Linked DNA regions of Coturnix japonica. The protein of the gene in region 3 interacts with the protein of the main gene of each other region in a pairwise test. Links are inferred from orthologs where the notes say so. Each region holds a gene or a part of one and is shown on either strand. Other genes may lie near its edges. The genes, in order: SLC23A1, CDKN2C, AHCYL1 and GEM.

Region 1 (4,805 bases), on a different chromosome or scaffold from region 3:
ATCATGCCTGCAAGCAGAGATGTGGCCGAGTGCTGTGGGAGCCGCAGTGCTGTAGGACAGGACAGCCCTCAGTGCAGCTCCCTGGGCAGTGCAGTTACCAAACAACGTGCAGAACATCCCACCGAGGATGGGGTCGGGCAGTGAGGCGAACAGCGCAGTGAACTTGCCAATGGTGCCCAGGATGAGCATGATCCCAGCGCCGTATTGAATCACCCTCCTGCTCCCCACCTGCACACGGGGACACAGGCAGTGCATGGAGGCGGCTGTGACCCCGTGGGGACACATGGGTCGGGTGGTACCTTGGTGATGCCCAGCACCCCGATGTTGGGGCTGGAGGAGGTGGAGCCGTTGCCGGTTCCCATCAGCCCCGCGATGATGCAGGAGATGCCTTCTGTGAAAATGCCCCTGGGGGATGAACAGAGGGATGAGCAGAGGGTGCCATTCCCTGTGGTGGCTTTGGAGACGTGCCCGAGGTGTGGGGCTGTGCCACCAGGAAGTGGCAGCATGAAGCAGCCACAGGCACAGAATGGGAGTACAGACGGTGTGCAGTGCAGTCCCCATCCCTGCAGTGCTGCCATACCTGTTGATGGCGTGCACTGGGGGTGCGGGTGCTCCTGACAGCCGTGCACAGGAATAGTAATCCCCGATGGACTCGATGATTCCAGCCAGTGTGGCACTGAACATGCCCAGCACAGCTGCTGAGGTCACCGTGGGCAGCCCCCACTGACCTGAGGGGAGCAGCACTGCGTGGGGACGTGCCACCACCATGGGGTGTGTGCTGCCAGCAATGGTGTGCCACTGCCCTGCCCCTGTGTGGCACCGTGGGGCAGCCATGGGTCACTCACAGGGGTAGGGGAAACGGAACCAGGGAGCCACCGAGAGGATCTCCCCGCGTGCATCCGTCCGGGCCTTGTAGCCGTACTCGTCGGGGTGGCTGGGGAAGACGCCGGTGCGTGTCAGCACGTAGCAGAGCAGCCACATCACCATGATGGCCAGGATGATCTGTGGGTGGACATGGGGACACGTGGGGATGGGGACACCCCAGCAGCGCTGCACAGCACCTCCCCCACCCCATCCCTACGGGGAACATCTTGAAGATCTGCACACGCAGCAGGACGAAGCCGCGGCCCCAGCGGTACCCGGGCAGGAGCACGGTGATGTTCCGCAGGTACTGCGCAAAGAGCACGATGAGGACGATGGACCTGCAGAGAGCAGAGGGCCATGAGGACACCGGGACCTTGAGGACACCAGGGATACCTGCGGCGTTGGCACAAGGGCCTGAAATCCACCCTCATGCTCATGGTGGTGACATACAGCGCAGCGATGCCCCAGTGCGAGCCGGCCCGCTCGCCTGCAGCCTGGAAGACGGAGAGGCCGATGAGGGAGACGGTGGGGGTGACGGTGAGCGGCCCGATGTAGCTGAGCAGCGCGCCAGGCAGCCCCAGCAGCCCGATGAACACCTCCACCAGGCTGGACACCACGATGGCCCCCTGGATCTGTGGGGTGAGACGTGAGCGGGTGCGGGGCAGCCGTGGGGCCGCGTGGGGCAGGGCTGGGCCGTACCTCCCGCATGCGGGGCTGCCAGATGTGGGAGGTGTTGAGCGGCAGCACCCAGTTGCCATAGATCTGATCTGGGGGTGGAGGAGGGTGGAGGTGAGCACAGGGCTGATGGGCAGCGTGTGCCGCCATCGCTGCGTCCCGCTCCTACCTTCAGGTGGGCAGCGCCACTTCTCCAGCGCCAGGATGGACTTGGCGGGCACCAGGAAGGCCAGAGCACTCGCCTGGAACAGCGGCAGCCTGCGGGGTGGGAGGGGGGGCTGCAGCCCTTGGGGGGATGTGGACCAGGGGCGGGGGGGGAGCAGCCCTACCTGATGCCCACGGTGGTCTGGATGAGGGTGGTGATGCCGACGCAGGTGAAGATGGTGCCGATGAGGTAGCTGACGGTCAGCTGGTCCTTGCCCACACACAGGCTCTCAGCCAGCAGGAAGGGCACGGCGATGGTGCCGCTGAAGCAGGTCAGGTAGTGCTGGGGGCACAGCGGTGCGGGGGCTCAGATGGGACCCGGCGGGGGGGGCTCTGGGGCCGTGGGGGCTGTGCCGTACCTGGAAGCCCATCAGGATGCAGAGGTACCAGGGGGGCACGTCCTCGATCCGGTACAACATGTCGAACTGCCGCCGAGCTGGGGGTGGGCCGGGGTCCGCCGCGGGGCCCTGGGGAGGGCACGGCTGAAGGGGAAGCGCTGAGCCCACCGGCAGCCCCAAGGGGCGCAGGGACAGGGATGGGGACAGTGCTCACCCTGCCCGCCCCCGGGGGTCGCTGGGGGCCAGAGGGGGCGAGGGCCGGGCTGGCGTCCTGGCAGCAGGGAGAGGCAGAGGGTGGATCGGTGTTGTGCCGGGCGTGCCATGGGAACCTGGCTGCGGCCTCCTGGGGATGTGGGGACACCGCCCGGCCACCCCCGCCGGGATCCGGGCCCTCGGGTGCCGCCCCAGGGGGACCCAGTGCACGGTGGTGGGGTCCCCACTGTCCCCGGAGCAACTGTAGCCCCCCATGGGTGCCATGCCCCAGCCACAGCATCCCACCACGGCCCCAGTGTGTCCCCTGGGCCTCGCCCCCCCAAGCCCCCCCCACCCTTTGCCACCCAGAGGCGCTGTGCCCCTCCCCACCTGCCCCGTCCCCAGCGCCCAATGGGGGCAGCTGAAGGGGTCGGGGTGGGAGCCGCGGTCACCTGGGGCTGGGGCAGTTCTCCCGAGCGGGTCCCCATCCTGGGCAGTGCGGGGATGTCACCACGCGGTGGTTTATATTGTGCTGGGGAGGACTTTACTCTGCGGGTTGTGAAACCGGGGAGTGTGGTGGTGGTGAGGGATGAGCGATTAACTGCTTTAATTAGGGCTGGCACCGCCGCCCGCGCCGCTTCGGTCAAACATTAAGGCGGAGGGTTACAGAGTAACAGCGCGGACGGGGCACGGGTGGCACCGGGGATGTCCCCACGAGAGCAAACACACGGAGCTGGGATGGGGACAGCAGCAGCCCGGCAACCCGGGCCTGGAGCCGGCAGTGCCACCTCCCTGAGTCCCCTCCGCGTGTGTCCGGCTCCAAAGGTCACCAGGCATTAAGCATTAACCACCCGCAGTGCCGGCAGGTGAAGGCTGCTGGCTACAGCTCGTTCTGCAGCGCCTTAGGGGGGGCTGAGCCCCCTGCTTTAGACGCCCCCAGGTGGGCGCACGGCCCCTTCTCGCCGTGGCACAGCAGCTCCCGCAGCGCGGTGTGGCCCCGTCGGTGCGCTCGGTACAGCCGCTGCTCGCCGTGCTCGCCCACGAGGCCGTGGCACATCTTGCTCAGCCTGCGGGCGGTACGAGGTGTCGGGGCACGGAGCGTCCCCGTGTCCCCTCCGTGCCACCCTGCAGCGCTCACCTGCCCGGCCACGGGCCCCCCATCATGGCCACGCTCATCGCCTCCTGCCTCGGCAGCCCCGGCCCCGTCAGCCGCCGCTCCCCTCTCAGTTCCTGCACGCCGTAACTGCAGGGATGTGAGGTTGGGGTCTCGACCGCCCGCTGCCCACTGGGGAAGGGTCGCAGCACTCACAGCTCCCAGTCCTGCACGCAGCTTTGCTCCAGCACCTCCACGTAGTCGGACTCGCTCAGCTCCTTCCTGCCCTGCTTCGCCTCCGCGCGGCTCAGCCGCCCCTCCAGCTGCGGCAGGAGCGGAGCAGAAAGTGGCCGCGCTGTGGCCATGCACCGGGACCCCCCTGCATGCACCGGGACCCCTCTCCCACCCCATCACCCCCCTCACCCCCCAGCAGCGCTCAGCGCGGTGCCGGGCTGCTGCTGGGGATGCCCCCCTGCACCTGGAAGGCGATGGCGTGGCAGGCGTCGCAGCGCAGCGCTTCAGGCATGTGGGGTGAGAGCCGGTCCTCAGCACTCATCTGTGGCGCAGGGATGTTGTAGGATGAGGAGGGGACCTCGGGGCCCCCACATGCATCCTCAGCCCCGGCTCTTGCTGCCAGGCTCAGGGACACACACAGCACCAGCGCTGCCTGCATGATTCTGCCCCGGCACCGCTGGGTGATGCTGGAAGCAATGGGGGCGGGCACGGACTGTGTCACCCCCAGGCACCCATGCGCAGCCATGCACCTGCATCCGGCTGACACTCAGTGCAGCATCTGCCCCTGTTTTGGTGTTGGGTTTAATTCAGAATCCTGGTTACGTTCAGTCCTGCCCCCATCCTCCCACACATCAACCCTGGGTTTGTCTCACCTCCTCCTCCCCCTGGGCTTGTGACCCCCATCCCCACCATTGCACCTGCACCGTTTGCTGTGCATGAGGCTCTGCTCAGGGTGTGCCCCTCGTGTCCCCTTTAGAGACGACTCAGACTCGGGTGGGTTTGTAGGGTTAATGCTGGCCCTGCACTTTATTGCTATTTCCAGGAGTCCGTGCTGTGGCTGCGGCGCTTCTATTCATCACCCTGGGATGGGAGCTGCAGGCTGGGCCGAGCGGGGCCATCCACGTGGTCCCTTTGCTGCTGTGGCCACACTGCCACAACTTCAGGAACACACCGGGGCTGAAAACATCACTTTTCCTTCTAGATGATGGTCAGGCCCAGGCAATACCCACCACCAGATCAGCCACAACCACAGGGTCCCTCCAGCCAGGGCTGGGGGCGATGTGGGCTGGCACTGCATCTGGAGATCACAAGGGAGGCAGTGGTCCCTTCTCGGCGCTGGCAGGGCTGGCACGGGCTGGGGGTTGGCTGGGGCTGGGGCTGGCCCGCATCCCTGTGGGGATGTAATAGGGGCTCTCCAGGTACCC
Region 2 (3,997 bases), on a different chromosome or scaffold from region 3:
GCTTTCCAATAAATATTTCGTTCCATCTGTCTGTTTGCATCCGCTGCTGAACGTTCCTGTTGACGTTGTCACCAACAGGATTTGTAAAATGGGACATTCTGCTGCTGTCAGAGCGCGAGGACGGGGTCGCAAAGACACTTCTTGAACCGCGTCCGAGCTCAGAACCCTTTGGGGCAGAAGGATCCCACTGGGGAGCACCGCAGCACATAGGGAAGCCCCCACTCCGGTTCCCCGGAGAGTTTCCAGCATCCATTCCCCTCCCGATGCCAAGGGCGGGGGAAGAGGCGTCAGTGTACCAAGTGTACCAAGTGTACCAAGTGTACCAAGTGTACCAAGTGAACCAAGTGTAGCACACCGCTGCCGAGAAATAGGCTTTGCGGGAGGGAGAGCCGCACCGCGATGCGGGAGCATCCCGAGGGACCGGGAGGGCGGGGCGGGGGGTGCGGGCAGAGCGAGGACGGAGCGCAGCTGGGACGGGGTGGGGGGCTTTGGGCTGCACAGGTCGGGGAGAGCGGAGGAGGTGAGCGCGGCCCCGGGGGGCTGCCACCCCCCGCGGGTGGGAAGGGGTCCGCAGCCCCTCGGGAATAGATGTGCCACAGAACAGCGCGAGGCGTTGCGGTGCACAGAGGTTTTTAATCAGAGAACGCAGAACACAGTGGTTGTGAGAGTACAGCGACGGGACGGACAGGTCCAGGCAGTTATTGATACTGGAAAACAGTGGTAGTTCATTTTGCGGGACCGTGTACATAAATTTTGGGGTTGGTTTGTTTGTTTGTTTTAAAGAAAGAAAACGTAAAGCAATGTACAGCCCTTGTCTTTTAGGTGCTATTTTGCAGCCAGTCTTTCCTTTCACATTGATGTGTGCCTTCCCATCCTGTGCCATCGACAGTCCGACCCCGCAGCGCAGAGCACGCCGAGGTTCCCGTCCGCCGCCCCTCCCGCTGCTCCCCGCCTTAACGGGGGGTTCGGCCGTGGGACCCTGACGGCTGTTCTGCAAGGGAAACAGTTCAGGGATTCCATTGCTCGTTAGGTGCAGGCATTGAGATCACCTCACCAGTACCTCAAGTGTCGCTTCCTAAATTCCACTGCATCCAAATATACCTGTAAGATACAGCCGTCATCATCCTGTGGGGTTTGGCTTTTCCTTTTTTTTTTCTTCCCCAAACAAAACAAAGCGGGCGGTACGAAGCGATCATTTCTAAAGAGCATCGCAACAGCGCTCAGCTCAGGCAGGGACAGGAGGAGCTGGAGGATTTCAGCCCCCCATTTCTGTGCTCCTACCTCTGCCCGGGGTTATGTGCTCTTTGGAAACTGGAGAATAATGCACTTTTCTGCTCCGAGTGCCCAGCTGAGCGCCTCAAAACCTCTGGCCAAAAAAAGAAAAAAAAAAAAGAAAAGCCACTTCTGTTGTTTCTGGTAACTACACTCAAAGGCAGCTCGGTGAAAGTTTAAATACACAAAGGGGAAAAGTGTCATCTACATTTAGAAAGCGAGCGACCTACTCTTAAGAGCTCCTGTTAGTGTCAGACTGAGGTTGATGCCCGAAGCGGTTCTCCCGGGCCCGGTGCCCCCCCGGCCGGGCCGCTCCCGGTCCCCACCCGACCCCAACACGCGTCAGGCTGAGCCGGGGGTGTGGGGGAGGGGGGGGGGGGGGGGGAAGAATCCCCGCGGGCTGTTTCCTTCCCCCGGCGCGGAAAGGGGTCATTAAGCGGTGGATCCTCAACGTTTAGGTTAATGGCTGAGTAACGAACGGGGATACACTGCAGAGCGTGGTGCTGGAAGCCCGGTGTGAGCTGCGGCGTGGGCACGGCGGAGTGAGGAGTGATGTGAGCGGCGGCGGTAACAACGTGCCGCCACCGTGCATTGAAATAATGTTCCTTAGCTAAAACCCCACTTCTACAACTTCTTGAACTCACACTATCCACTATTCCAAAAATATAACAACAACAAAAAAAAAGAAAAAAATATATATAGAAGTAGGGTTGAACCAAACGTTATTAAAAAGGGGGAGAAAAAAAAAAGAAAATCATCAAAGATCGAGGCTGGGAGCCGCAGTGTCCGAGGAGGCCCGGTTCAGTCGGTGTCGGCCGCGGGCGGGGGGCCGCCCTCCATCAGCCGCACCACGGCGCTGCGCCGGTACAGCCGGGCCACGTCCAGCGCCGTGTCCCCGCGGCGGTTCTGGTGCATGACGCGGCTCGGGGTGCGCCGCAGCAGGAACTCCACCACCCGCACGTGGCCCTCCTGGGCCGCCAGGTGTAACGGCAGGTTGCCTTCCGCGTCCTCGATGTTCACGTCGGCGTGGAACTCCAGCAGGGTCTGCAAAGTGTCCAGGAAACCCGCTCTGGCTACGTCGTGAATGACGGCGAAGCCGGTACTGTCCTTCAGGTTGGGGTTCGCTCCGCTCATCAGCAGCCTGCGGGCGATCTCGGGGTTGCCGAGCTTCATCACCTGCGGGACGGAGTGAGACGTCAGCGCCCGCGGAGCCCCAGCCCTCAGCCCACAGCTCCGAGCCCCGCTGCGCCCGACGGTACGTCTAATTCCAAGCTTTCCTCACTGACCTCGGCGGCATTAGGGGAGGTTTGGTGGTGCTGTTAGGGGAGGTTTGGTGGCTCGGTGCTGACAGCTTTGGCTCAGAGATTAACGCCTGCAGCCGGAGCGACCTTCTCCCCTACAAGTGATCTCGGCTCCTCTGCAGCACCGCTCGGTGCCGGCTGCGGGTCTCCGAGGAACAGAGACTGTGCCTCAGCGATAGAAAATGCGCGATGTGCTTCGATAAGCCCTCAGGTGTTTGCATTGTCTGCGCATTATCATAAAGCAAATATTTGTGCCGTGCCATAGTTCTGGCTGCTAAGAAAAATAAATGCTCCAAGAAACTGTTCTCCCCGGTGCTGGAGTCTCAGTGTCACCTGACAAGAAGTGAAAAGGAGCGGTGCGAAGTGCCGCACATTTTCTTCCCAAACCAACCAATGATTCAGTGGTTCTGGATTCTATGATCCGATCAGGATTCTGTCATTTTAATATAAACAAACCACGGCCACGCTCTGCTGTTACACACATCCCTATTTCAGAACCAGCCGTTGGGTCAGGAAGAAATACATAAAGAAATAATTCAATCGAATGCCTCATTACATTCTCTCGGTTGCATCATAAAATCATTCGAAATTAGAACACATTTTTTTTCCCCCTATTTGGGACGTAACGGCCTGCACCGATTCCCATCAAATTCCTCTATCTTTTATTCCTTCTTGTTTTGTTTTCTCAGAGCCTGAGCCGGGCACCCAGCGCAGCACTGCTCTGTCTGTGCCATCAGCCGCACTGCGAGTGGCAGAGCCGAGTAAAAACCCCTCCTGGATTTCCTTAAACTGATCTGAAAACCTCGCGAATAATAATAATAAAAAAGAATCAGCAACAAAAATGTATGTTACAGTTAGATGAGAAATAACTGAGCAGAACTTACACAAAGCATTTGCCTCAAAAGTCTCTTAGTGTAAAATAATAATAATAATAATAATAATTAGGCTTTTTAAGATTATTAAAAATAATAATAAAGTTCTTCTAATGATTCTTCTAATTAATAAATCTCACTTCTTCCCCGGTGCTGTGAGGGCAGAGTGGGTGCAGGGAGCAGAGGCTCGGGGAAGCACAGCTCTGAGCACACTGCTCTTTCACTTCTGAGCAGGAGTGGGAGGGAAAATAGGAGCAGTGCGAGCCCTCCTTTGTGTTGGGAAAATTATTGGGATGTGTTAGGGAGTATTTTTGGAGGGCTCGGGGTGCATTTTTGGTGGATTTATAAAGTGTATTTGGTCGAAGTGGGAGTTAATAGGCTCGAGGAAGGCAGGCTCGGGGAGTGAGGCTGCATTGCCACATGCGGGGGGGGGAGAAAATGCTCACAGAGGGGATGGAGCCGGGGGGGGGGATGCACAGCTCCTTTCTGCCCGGCTCCTCTAAGGAGCGGCAACGGCCCGTAGCCGTGGCAGGGAGGATCGGGGCAGGACGG
Region 3 (4,872 bases):
TCAGGCACTGCTCAGCAGCAAAGAGCTGCAGCACAGCCTGCTCGGGGTCCCCCCCCCCAGCTCCATATCCATGTCCCACAGCACTGCAGGGCCACAGCACCGAGCATTGAGCTGGAGCCCATTCCACCTTCAGTGCATGAATAAGCAGATCTGTCTGCAGAGGACGAGAGCGTCTGCCTGTCCAACAGCGCCCGAGCGTGAAGGTGCCTGCATGGAGATGCTGCGTGCAGGGTCACAGTAACAAACAGGGAGCAGGCATGCAAAGCCCCCCCAGCTCAAGGGCACACACACACACACACACACAGAGCACAGCAGGGAGCTCAGGGCTGCAGCAAACAGGCTGGGAAATGCAGCTCCAAGGGCAGCTGCAGGTCTGTGGGTGCAGGCAGCATAAGTAGCACCCAGGGAGCTGGGAGAGCACGCACTGCCCTTCTGTTCTCCTCCATCCCCAAAGCAAAGCACCCCCCACCAAAGCACAAGGCTCAGCATCGCTCACCTCTGCCTGCAAAGCTCTCCCTGCCCAGCAGCCCAATGGCTCCCACTGTTTTGTCCCCGGGAAGCAGAGCAGCAAAGGAGCTGCAAGAGGTTGCAGGCGACGCCAGCAGCTCCTGGAGCAGCAGCGGCCGCATTGCTGCAGGGAACCCCCAGCTCTGACGGCTGCAGCTCCGACTTCAATCCGATGGCGTGTAATCTTTTAATCTCTTACCTCCTGCTGTTTCACTTTTTCACCTTAAGCAAATCAGGAGAGCGATGCTGAAGGGTTCCGATGCAGCCCATGTGTTCCCCCTGTGCTCAAGGGGGGGCTCCAAGCTGGGGACACCCACCCCATGCACTGGGACAAGGCAAAGCTGCTCCCTGAGGAGCTCAGCTCACACAGCTCAGCTCCATCCCAGTATCAGGGCACACACTGTGTCCTCCAGCTCCACCTCTCAGCCATCTTCAATGCTGGCCACGCTCGGAGCAGCCGTAAGCAGCTTTGGCTTGCATTAAAACCAAGAGGCGTTTGAATGGTTCCATTGCAATTGGAAAGCATCTGAAATGCCCAGAGCTGGGGGCACTCAGCGCTGTATTGCAGGGTGATTCTCCATCCTTCTCCTTTCATCCTCCTGCCAAGGTTTCCCCTATAACTGAGCCCTATTTGCACAAAGCAGCCATGCAAGGAGAGCAGCAGCCCCGAGCGCTTTGTTCCTTGACCTCAGTTGCATTGCAAGCTCCCCAGGATCTCAATGCAACGCTGATGTTATCAGCATCAAATGCCTCCCGTGGCTCAGGGCACCTCCACCATCACAGCGCTGCAGTGTGACGGCTGCTCTTGGTGCTGTGCAATGCAATGCAATGCAATGCAACGCAATGCAATGCAACGCAATTCAATGCACACAGCAGCACAGCGAGGTAAGGAAGGATCCCAAACCAACCCGAGCACAGACAGAGCTCTGAGAACACCAGGATTCCCCCTGGATACACTGAGGTTATTTCTTATTCCGTGGGTATGATGCTCCAGGATTCATTGCTTGCTCCCAGCTCAGCCACAGCCTCACCCTGTTACCATCAGCTCCATGACCAGCCCAGCTCCATTAAATACAAAAGCAATAAGAACACAAACCCCCCCTACAAGCTCCCAGCTCCACATTCCTCCGCTCCTTCCTTCAGGCCACATCCAAAGCCTGAATAAACAGAGCTGGGCACGACAGCCTCCAACCCTCCGCTCCCATCACATCCCAGTGCTGCCATAACCACCCATAGGGGGGTCCCCAATGGGGGCTGTGTCCCCACTATGAGCACACGGGGACCCATAGCAAAGCACTGAGCCCAATGGGGACACCCTGAGCCCAGCACACAGCGATGTGCCCACCTATAAGCCCCGACAACAGCCCTACATGGTGGGGCAGCACTCAGCTCTCACCCCATGGCACCATACGGCCCCATACAAATCCATAAGGCCCTATACAGATCCATACGACCCCATACGGCCCCATACAGATCCATAGGGCCCCATGCGGCTCCATACAGATCCATAAGGCCCTATACAGATCCATACGACCCCATATGGCCCCATAGGGCTCCATAGGGCTCCATAGGGCTCCATAGGGCTCCATAGGGCTCCATACGGATCCATACGGCCCCATACAGATCCAAACGGCCCCATATAGCTCCATACAGATCCATAGGGCCCCATATGGCTCCATACAGATCCATAAGGCTCCATACAGATCCATACGGCCCCATACAGATCCATAAGTCTCCATACGGCCCCATACAGATCCATAAGTCTCCCCATTACGGCCCCATACAGATCCATAAGTCTCCATACGGCCCCATACAGATCCATAAGTCTCCATACGGCCCCATACAGATCCATAAGTCTCCATACAGATCCATACAGCCCCATACGGCCCCATACGGCCCCATAGAGATCCATACGGCCCCATACAGATCCATAAGGCTCCATACAGATCCATAGGGCACCATACGGCCCCATACAGCCACATACAGCCACATACAGATCCATACAGCCCCATACGGCCCCATATAGATCCATATAGCCCCATACGGCTCCATACAGCCCCATACGGCTCCATACCGATCCATACAGCCCCATACAGATCCATACAGCCCCATACGGATCCATACAGCCCCATACCGATCCATACAGCCCCATACAGACCGATACAGCCCCATATAGATCCATACGGCCCCATACAGCCCCATACAGATCCATACGGCCCCATACAGCCCCATACAGCCCCATACAGACCCATACAGCCCCATACAGCCCCATACGGATCCATACAGCCCCATACAGCCCCATACAGATCCATACAGCCCCATACAGCCCCATACAGCCCCATACAGCCCCATACAGCCCCATACAGCCCCATACAGCCCCATACAGCCCCATATTGACCCCATACAGCCCCATACAGCCCCATACAGCTCCATACAGCCCCATAGGCCCCATTCCAGCCCCTATCGATCCCGTTGTACCTTCTTGGGCGCTTTGGTAACGGTGGCCATAAAGGAAAACTTCTCAGCGTCCTCCGCCTCCTTGGCCTGCTTGGCCTCCTCACCGCCGCTGGGCTCCGGGCCCGACATCGTGTCTCGAGGCGGAACGGAGGGGTACAAGGGGAGGAGGAGGGATGGGCCGCCCCGGTTCGGTTCCGTTCGGTTCCGTTCGGTTCCGTTCGGTTCCGTTCGGTTCCGTTCGGTTCCGTTCGGTTCCGGTCGGTTCGCAGCGCGATGCGGCGGACACTGCGGGCACCGCGCGGGGCGCCGGGGGCGGCTCTGGAGTGACGTTAGTGCGTGATGACGTCATCACGCGGCCGCTGGATGAGTGAGGCGGGGAGATAGAAGAGACGGGATGGAAACGGGAGCGGCACCATGGCGCCACCTAGTGGTGGAAGGGGGGAATGGACCGCCACGGGAGGACTATGGGATGGGATGGGATGGGATGGGATGGGATGGGATGGGATGGATGGGATGGATGGGATGGGGATGGGTGGATGGGGATGGCGGGGGATGGGATGGGCATGGATGGGATGGGATGGGGTGGGATGGGAATGGGATGAAAATGGATGGGAATGAGGTGAGAAGGGATGGGATGGGTTGGGATGGAGGATGGATGGGTTGGGATGGAGGATGGGTTGGAATGGAGGATGGATGGGATGGGATGGGATGGGATGGGATGGGATGAGGATGAGGACATAATGCATAAATAAACAGATAAAAGAATGAATAAAGAAGCTTAACCCCACTATGATCTGATTCAGTCATAAATAAACTGAGAAACAGAGACATGGAATGGTTTGGGTTGGAAGGGACCCAGAGAATCCTCGCCCCCACCCACCTCCCTTCCATCCTCCTGGAGGGCTGAGCTCTCTGTTCTGCGCTGGGTCAGGGCAGCCCCAAGCACAGCTCTAGGGGCAGCCAGATCCAAGGAACAAGCATCCATCATGGTGGGGACGGGCTGGGATGGGCTGTAATGCACGGGGGGGGGGGTCAGCACCCTCAGCTCAGCCCCCCATGGTGCTCCCAAGGGCCACGTCCCTCCTTGATACGGGCTGATGGTGCTGCTGTCCATCCATCCATCCATCCATCCATCCATCCATCCATCCATCCATCCATCCATCCATCCATCCAGCACTGAATGGCTCCGCTTCCCCCTTGGGATCCCCATTTCCCACCCTTACCCCCCCCATACCCAGCAATGGGGTTACACACATGTACCTCCCCTCATTGCTCGTCCCCCCTCCAGCCCCACAGCGATGAACCCACAGAGCCAGCAGCGTTGCAGCATCGCAGCTCATAGTTTTCCCCTTAACCAAAACTGCTCTGTCTGACCGCAGATCGGGCCCGGGCCGGTCCTCACTCGACACAACCCTCCATCCCATCAGGGTGGCCGGGATCGCTCCGTTCCGTCCCTATAACCCCCAGTGGGGAACCGCGGCCCCGCGGTGCTTTCCGGGACGGCGCTGCCCCGTCAGCAGTCTGCGGCCCCATAGGGAGGGCTGTGGTCCCTGCTGCCCCATAGGGAAGGCTGTGGTCCGACGGTGCCCCATCCACAGCCACCCCAGTGCTGATGCTTCATCCCTCCCCCCCCCCACTTCAGACTTTGGGTTTTCAGCCCCATCTCGGCACCTCACCTGCTTTTAAGGTGTAAAAATCCCCCCATGGGGGCTCTCCTTTAGGAGGGATGATCCCCCTCCCTGCTGTAGGAACATGGATTGGCTCCATCCCCCCATTAAAGCTCCCAAAAATGGGCTCTGAGCTTTTGCTCCCCCCAACCCACCCTTAGGGCTCCCAAAACTGTCAGTTTTACCCCCAAAATCTCCTCCCCGTGCCTTCTCCCCCCATTTCTCCCCCCCTCCCCATGGC
Region 4 (4,836 bases), on a different chromosome or scaffold from region 3:
CTCAAGTTTGGATAATGGTTTCTTTGACTGATCCAGCATTGGCATGGGAACAAGATCCATCTGCACCAGAGGACAACATTTAGAGGACTACTTCTTTGTTCTCCATGACACAGCGAGAGGCTACAAGTACGTAACCACACTACTTGAAGATGTTCTGCCCCTGATCCGAATCATAGAATCATGGAAGCTTTTCAGTTGGAAAGGACCCTTAAGGGCCATCTAATTCAACTCCCTTGCCATGAACAGGGACACCTACAGCTAGATCAGGTTGGTTACAGCTCCATCCAGTGAGCTTACTTTGAAGTCAACATTTTAAAAGGGGAAATACAACAGCAGGTTTCCTGATACTTCCATAAAGCTGGCCTTGAAAACTTGTCATGGCCATCCTCCAAGCAGTAGTGCTGGGAGTGCAAATGAATGAAGAATCCATACTGCTTCTCATGAAGAAGGAAACTATCTGACAAGGATGTGCAAAGTAAATCCTGGCTTAAGAACCAAAAAACCTGTCCTGCCTATGCTCCACCAAAGGCTGGAAAAAAAAAGCTCAGAAACTCTCCGTGCTGTCATGGGCATCAGCACAAGCGGAACAGATAGAGGAGAGAAATGCTCTGTGTGTTGAATAGCAAAACCAGCCAGCAACTTGCACGTGTTACCAAGATGACAGCACCTGTGTCCTTAGGACCACAGCAGGCTTCTATCACTGCATGTCCCTTCTTCCACAGCACCTTGCTCACACCCTCATGGCTGGGTGCCACAGCCTCACCTTCTGCAATGACTAGTCTTTGGGACTAAGGAAGGTTTCAAAATCCTCACTAACACGGGAACATGAAATGAGGGGTAGATATATTTTGCTCAGACTCCCTACAGCCTATGCTGACACAACATATTCATATGTAAGGCTGAGATAACATATAATGGCAAATGTTTTGGAGAATTGGATAGGGCTTTTTATTTTTCATTGCATATTATTTCTGAGCATTACATTCTTGTGGACCACAAGGAAAGGTCCTTGTTTTCCTCTGCCCTATAGAAAGCTGGAAATAGCCCTTTGGAGCCTGTGGTGACACAAGAATAGGACCAGAATGAATACTGAATGGCAGCTTCCAACAAATTCTTTGAAATAAAAAAGCATGAGAATCTGTATTGTTCCTTTTCAGATGCTTTGAGTTGTTATTAGAGAGTACCATCCTCGTTGTAGCTTACTTTGCTTATTCTTGTTTTCTTAAGAGAGATGCATGTGTTGGAATTGCTTTTGACAATCAGATCCAGATGTTTGCTAGGTCAATTTTACATTAATTGACCTTTCTGATTTTCCACGTCAATTTCTGCTGCCATGGCTGGTGGTGAGCAAACACAGACCCCAGAGCATGGTGACCTACCTCCCAGCACCTCGCAGTCGCTGTCAATGCTGTCGTGTACCCCTGCAAAGATGTTGGCCAGCGACGATTTGCCCACACCTTGTTCCCCAATCAGCACCACTCTGTAGCAGTTGCTGCAGGACTCAGAGGAGATGACAGAGTCAGATGACTCCGAGGACCAGCTCCTTCTGTAGTATTCATCAGGACTGATGGTGTATCGCTTCTGCACATTGTACTCATTGGAGTCCTTCTGGACCAACAGGTTCTTCCCATCAGCAGGAATGCTCCATCGCTGCTGCTGCTGCTGCAGGCTGCTGTGGTGGGTGCGACGCATGGTAACGTTGTTGAGGGTCATTTTTTTACCCCTGGTGAGAAATGTGGAAGCCATACACTTTATTCTCAAAATACTTACAAACACACCATCTCAAGGCATCAGGTCCTGCTCTTCTATGGGGATACAGTATGCAACAACAACAACAAAAAAGGAGACTCCACACTTTTGCAGTTGCTAGTACTAGTATGCAAAGAAATATTTCTAGCTTGTGAGTCAGAGGCTTTTTCCTGGGGATGATGCCACCCCCATACACTAATCCTCTCTGTCTTTAGCCTGTACATGTTTCCTGTAGTGCTAAGTGTATGGGCAGGGAAGCACTCAGCAGAGCTCACATATGGCTGCATCCCCATCAAGAGATGGGCAGCACCTGCAGGCAACGCTCCCTGCCCTCCTGCCTCCTGGGGCAAGCAGAGGGACCCATCCCTCATACCTCAAACTCACAATCTTACACAGCTCCCATAGGAGAGGAAAGCCATGCAAGCAAGCACATGTCTTTGGGTCTCATCTATGTCGGGATAAGCTTAAAACAGTGGCTTTCTGGCTGCTAGCAGGGACACAACCAAGTCCAATGACTTTTCAGAGGAGGTATATGTTCAAGCCATTACAGAAGGTGGCACTGGCAGAAAAAGATCATAAGTTTACAAATACTAAATCAGAAACTTCATCTGTTTCACAATTAGCTAATAGGTTAGCTCTTCCAACCTTAGCATGGCCCCTAATTACACTTAAATTAGCAAACTCAGTTTTGAGCGGGTTGGCGGCAGAGCACAGTGATGTCATTCTCACGGGCCACCAGCTACCATTTTTAGGAATGTTACTTCTGTGGCTATTTGGACATTTTGCTTTTTGGAGTATATCTGAATTTTATCAGCTCTGTTCTCCATGTCAGTAGGCAGGAGAGCTGCCCATGAAATGAACTTTCAAACTTGAATAACAAGCGGTGAATGAAAACAAGCACAGCAACACATGAAAACAACATGTTCGGATCACTACTCCTTTTCACACAAAGCTATCTGAAAACTTCTTAGAATGAACATAGATCAGGCTGGAGAATAAGCAGACCAAAACCACTTTCTATCTGATCTTATTACAGCACTCACAGTACTTACTCTGTGACACGCAGTGCTTAGTGGCAAAACTAGATTCTGACAAGAAACTAGGCATCAAGCAAAGCCTGCTTCACAAAGTCAGATAGGAACCGCAGTTTGATTTACCATGCATTACTTTCTTTCAGTTTCCCCAGTGAAAAGACCAGATGAGAAAAAGCAATTCCAATTCAGTCAGATATCAGAGCCCAAACAAATGATGACCATCAATAAACAATCACGTCGCAGTCCAAGCCCAGGTTTGATGGCATGCACTGCACTCAGCTGTGTGGGTCTACAAAGCCACAACAAACCCCACAGACACAGGACCCAATGCACAGTGGCCAGAGATTCCTTACTTGTATGTGACCGTCCACGCTGTCAGCTCCGGATTCGCGCTGCCTTCCGCTCCGTGGGCTGTGTTACACTGAGCTGCTCTGCCAGAGTAAATCCCCTCCCGCTTACGGGCTGCCTCTTTAATTCCTTCTCAGCGAACCTGGTTTATATTAAGCCCATCTGATCGGAGACAGGGCTTTTCCGTGACGTGGTTGGCCTTTCCATCCAACAGCCAACCCCCAACTGGGAGGAAGCAGACATGCAGAAAAGCAAAAACTTACAAACAGCCTCAAAAGACTTACTTGAAATCATATGATTGTCTTGGTGTTGCCAGTAAAACAAACACATTTGGGGCTGACATGAGGAAAACAGGCAAGTGGAAAAATTAAAAAAAAACATGTCCTTCCATCTTGCTCAGTTCTGCATTCAAACGCCAGCAGGATTAATGGTGTTTTTAAAACTACGTGTTTCATTAATGAATATAATGCAGTAAATGTGTGATGTTCTCTGTCTGCAAAATGCAGTTAACTCCCCACTGGACAAGATGTTTTTTTGTGGAATAAAAGATCTGAATATCATTTTAGAATTATCTCACAAGCATGAATATTATTCTGTTGTTGTTTTGTTTTTTTTGTTTTGTTTTGGTTTGGTTTATTTGTCTTTTAAAGAGATCCAAAACATACAATCCTACTTTTTCCATCACCTTCCAAGGCTCTACCAGCCATCTCCCACCCCTGCTGCAGCACTCCTCCTGCAAGGGCTCAACAGAACGGCTGCCCACAGACTGAGTGCTGCTCCAGCTGGACGCCAGCAAAGACGGATGTGAATTACAGAGCACAGAGCCCGGGCGACACGGTGCAGATTCTGTCTGCAGTTTATTAGGAGAGATGGCTATACAGTGTATGCACCACAAAGCATGTGCCTGCTCCTCAAATGGTGCCATTTCTAACAGCCTGTGTGGAAATCACAATTAACAGAGCAAAGAAATAAACCTCCACAAAATACTTGGTAGGGATACCATCAGTTATACAGAAGTCTACAGCAAACTCCCACTATTTTTCCTTCTTTTTCCAAACCTGTGACTGCCCTTCCCCTGGCAGCTGAGCTTTAGCACCAGCGCTGTGCAGGGTGGAACATCCCTTCCCTTGGTACTGCCTGGCACTCATGTCACAGACTTCTGCATTTTTGTGTCTCACATAAGCCTTGTACAGAACATTTCCTCTGATAATGCAGCCCTTTATGAAACTCTTCCACTGAGATATGCCTGATTTCTCTCCCCTTCAGCTTTGTTGCACTTCTGCATTTTTCATGAGGATTTTCAGGGATCTTCTGAGCCCATCCTGTTGGATCACCTCTGTTCAGCAGTGGCTGCCCTGGCTCCAAGCCCTGCAGCTCTGCGTAGGATGCACACAACAACTGTTTGTGCTCACTGTACAGCACAGCAAAACACGGCACAACCCCTGTCAGGGAATGTTTATGGCAAGGCCAGTGGGTCTCAAAGCAGAGCACTTTGCTGTCAGCACACCGAGTTCTGAAGTTGCTCCTCCCTTTTGCAAAATGTAAATGAAGTGGGGGAGCGGATGGCTGCAGAGCTGCGTGCTGCACCCTCAAGGGATTTCAGTTCTCTTTATGTCGCCTGTCACTCGTCACCTCCTATAATAATGCAAAACCTGTCCATCACAGGGCTGCAGAGTTTTATGGCCAGATGGATGCCAGCAGAACC

The links.
Region 1: the proteins of AHCYL1 (region 3) and SLC23A1 interact in binary tests that used the Homo sapiens proteins (3 or more experiments, as listed by UniProt). The two-hybrid records come from large-scale screens. The link is inferred for Coturnix japonica from reciprocal best matches to the Homo sapiens genes AHCYL1 and SLC23A1.
Region 2: the proteins of AHCYL1 (region 3) and CDKN2C interact in binary tests that used the Homo sapiens proteins (3 or more experiments, as listed by UniProt). The two-hybrid records come from large-scale screens. The link is inferred for Coturnix japonica from reciprocal best matches to the Homo sapiens genes AHCYL1 and CDKN2C.
Region 4: the proteins of AHCYL1 (region 3) and GEM interact in binary tests that used the Homo sapiens proteins (3 or more experiments, as listed by UniProt). The two-hybrid records come from large-scale screens. The link is inferred for Coturnix japonica from reciprocal best matches to the Homo sapiens genes AHCYL1 and GEM.

The regions. Positions count from the first base shown.
Region 1 is NC_029528.1:14,268,844-14,273,648, forward strand, and holds the start of SLC23A1 (solute carrier family 23 member 1), read right to left. Parts: upstream 3,119-4,805; 5' UTR 2,762-3,118; coding exon of another isoform or gene 2,726-2,761; 5' UTR 2,575-2,725; coding exon 2,296-2,574; intron 2,211-2,295; coding exon 2,103-2,210; intron 2,027-2,102; coding exon 1,869-2,026; intron 1,798-1,868; coding exon 1,709-1,797; intron 1,632-1,708; coding exon 1,564-1,631; intron 1,497-1,563; coding exon 1,315-1,496; intron 1,203-1,314; coding exon 1,082-1,202; intron 1,003-1,081; coding exon 846-1,002; intron 729-845; coding exon 581-728; intron 406-580; coding exon 300-405; intron 229-299; coding exon 99-228; intron 8-98; coding exon 1-7. Other genes in the region: MZB1 (marginal zone B- and B1-cell-specific protein), read right to left, coding at 3,154-3,340, 3,412-3,516, 3,583-3,689, 3,845-4,126; PROB1 (proline-rich basic protein 1), read right to left, coding at 4,686-4,805.
Region 2 is NC_029523.1:21,378,253-21,382,249, reverse strand, and holds the end of CDKN2C (cyclin-dependent kinase 4 inhibitor C), read right to left. Parts: intron 2,449-3,997; coding exon 2,074-2,448; 3' UTR 614-2,073; downstream 1-613. UniProt on the Homo sapiens protein: Interacts strongly with CDK6, weakly with CDK4. Inhibits cell growth and proliferation with a correlated dependence on endogenous retinoblastoma protein RB.
Region 3 is NC_029541.1:1,678,102-1,682,973, reverse strand, and holds the start of AHCYL1 (S-adenosylhomocysteine hydrolase-like protein 1), read right to left. Parts: upstream 3,280-4,872; 5' UTR 3,094-3,279; coding exon 2,986-3,093; intron 925-2,985; exon of another isoform or gene 707-924; intron 619-706; exon of another isoform or gene 497-618; intron 1-496. UniProt on the Homo sapiens protein: Multifaceted cellular regulator which coordinates several essential cellular functions including regulation of epithelial HCO3(-) and fluid secretion, mRNA processing and DNA replication.
Region 4 is NC_029517.1:114,173,764-114,178,599, forward strand, and holds the start of GEM (GTP-binding protein GEM), read right to left. Parts: upstream 3,278-4,836; 5' UTR 3,137-3,277; intron 1,724-3,136; 5' UTR 1,714-1,723; coding exon 1,380-1,713; intron 1-1,379. UniProt on the Homo sapiens protein: Could be a regulatory protein, possibly participating in receptor-mediated signal transduction at the plasma membrane. Has guanine nucleotide-binding activity but undetectable intrinsic GTPase activity.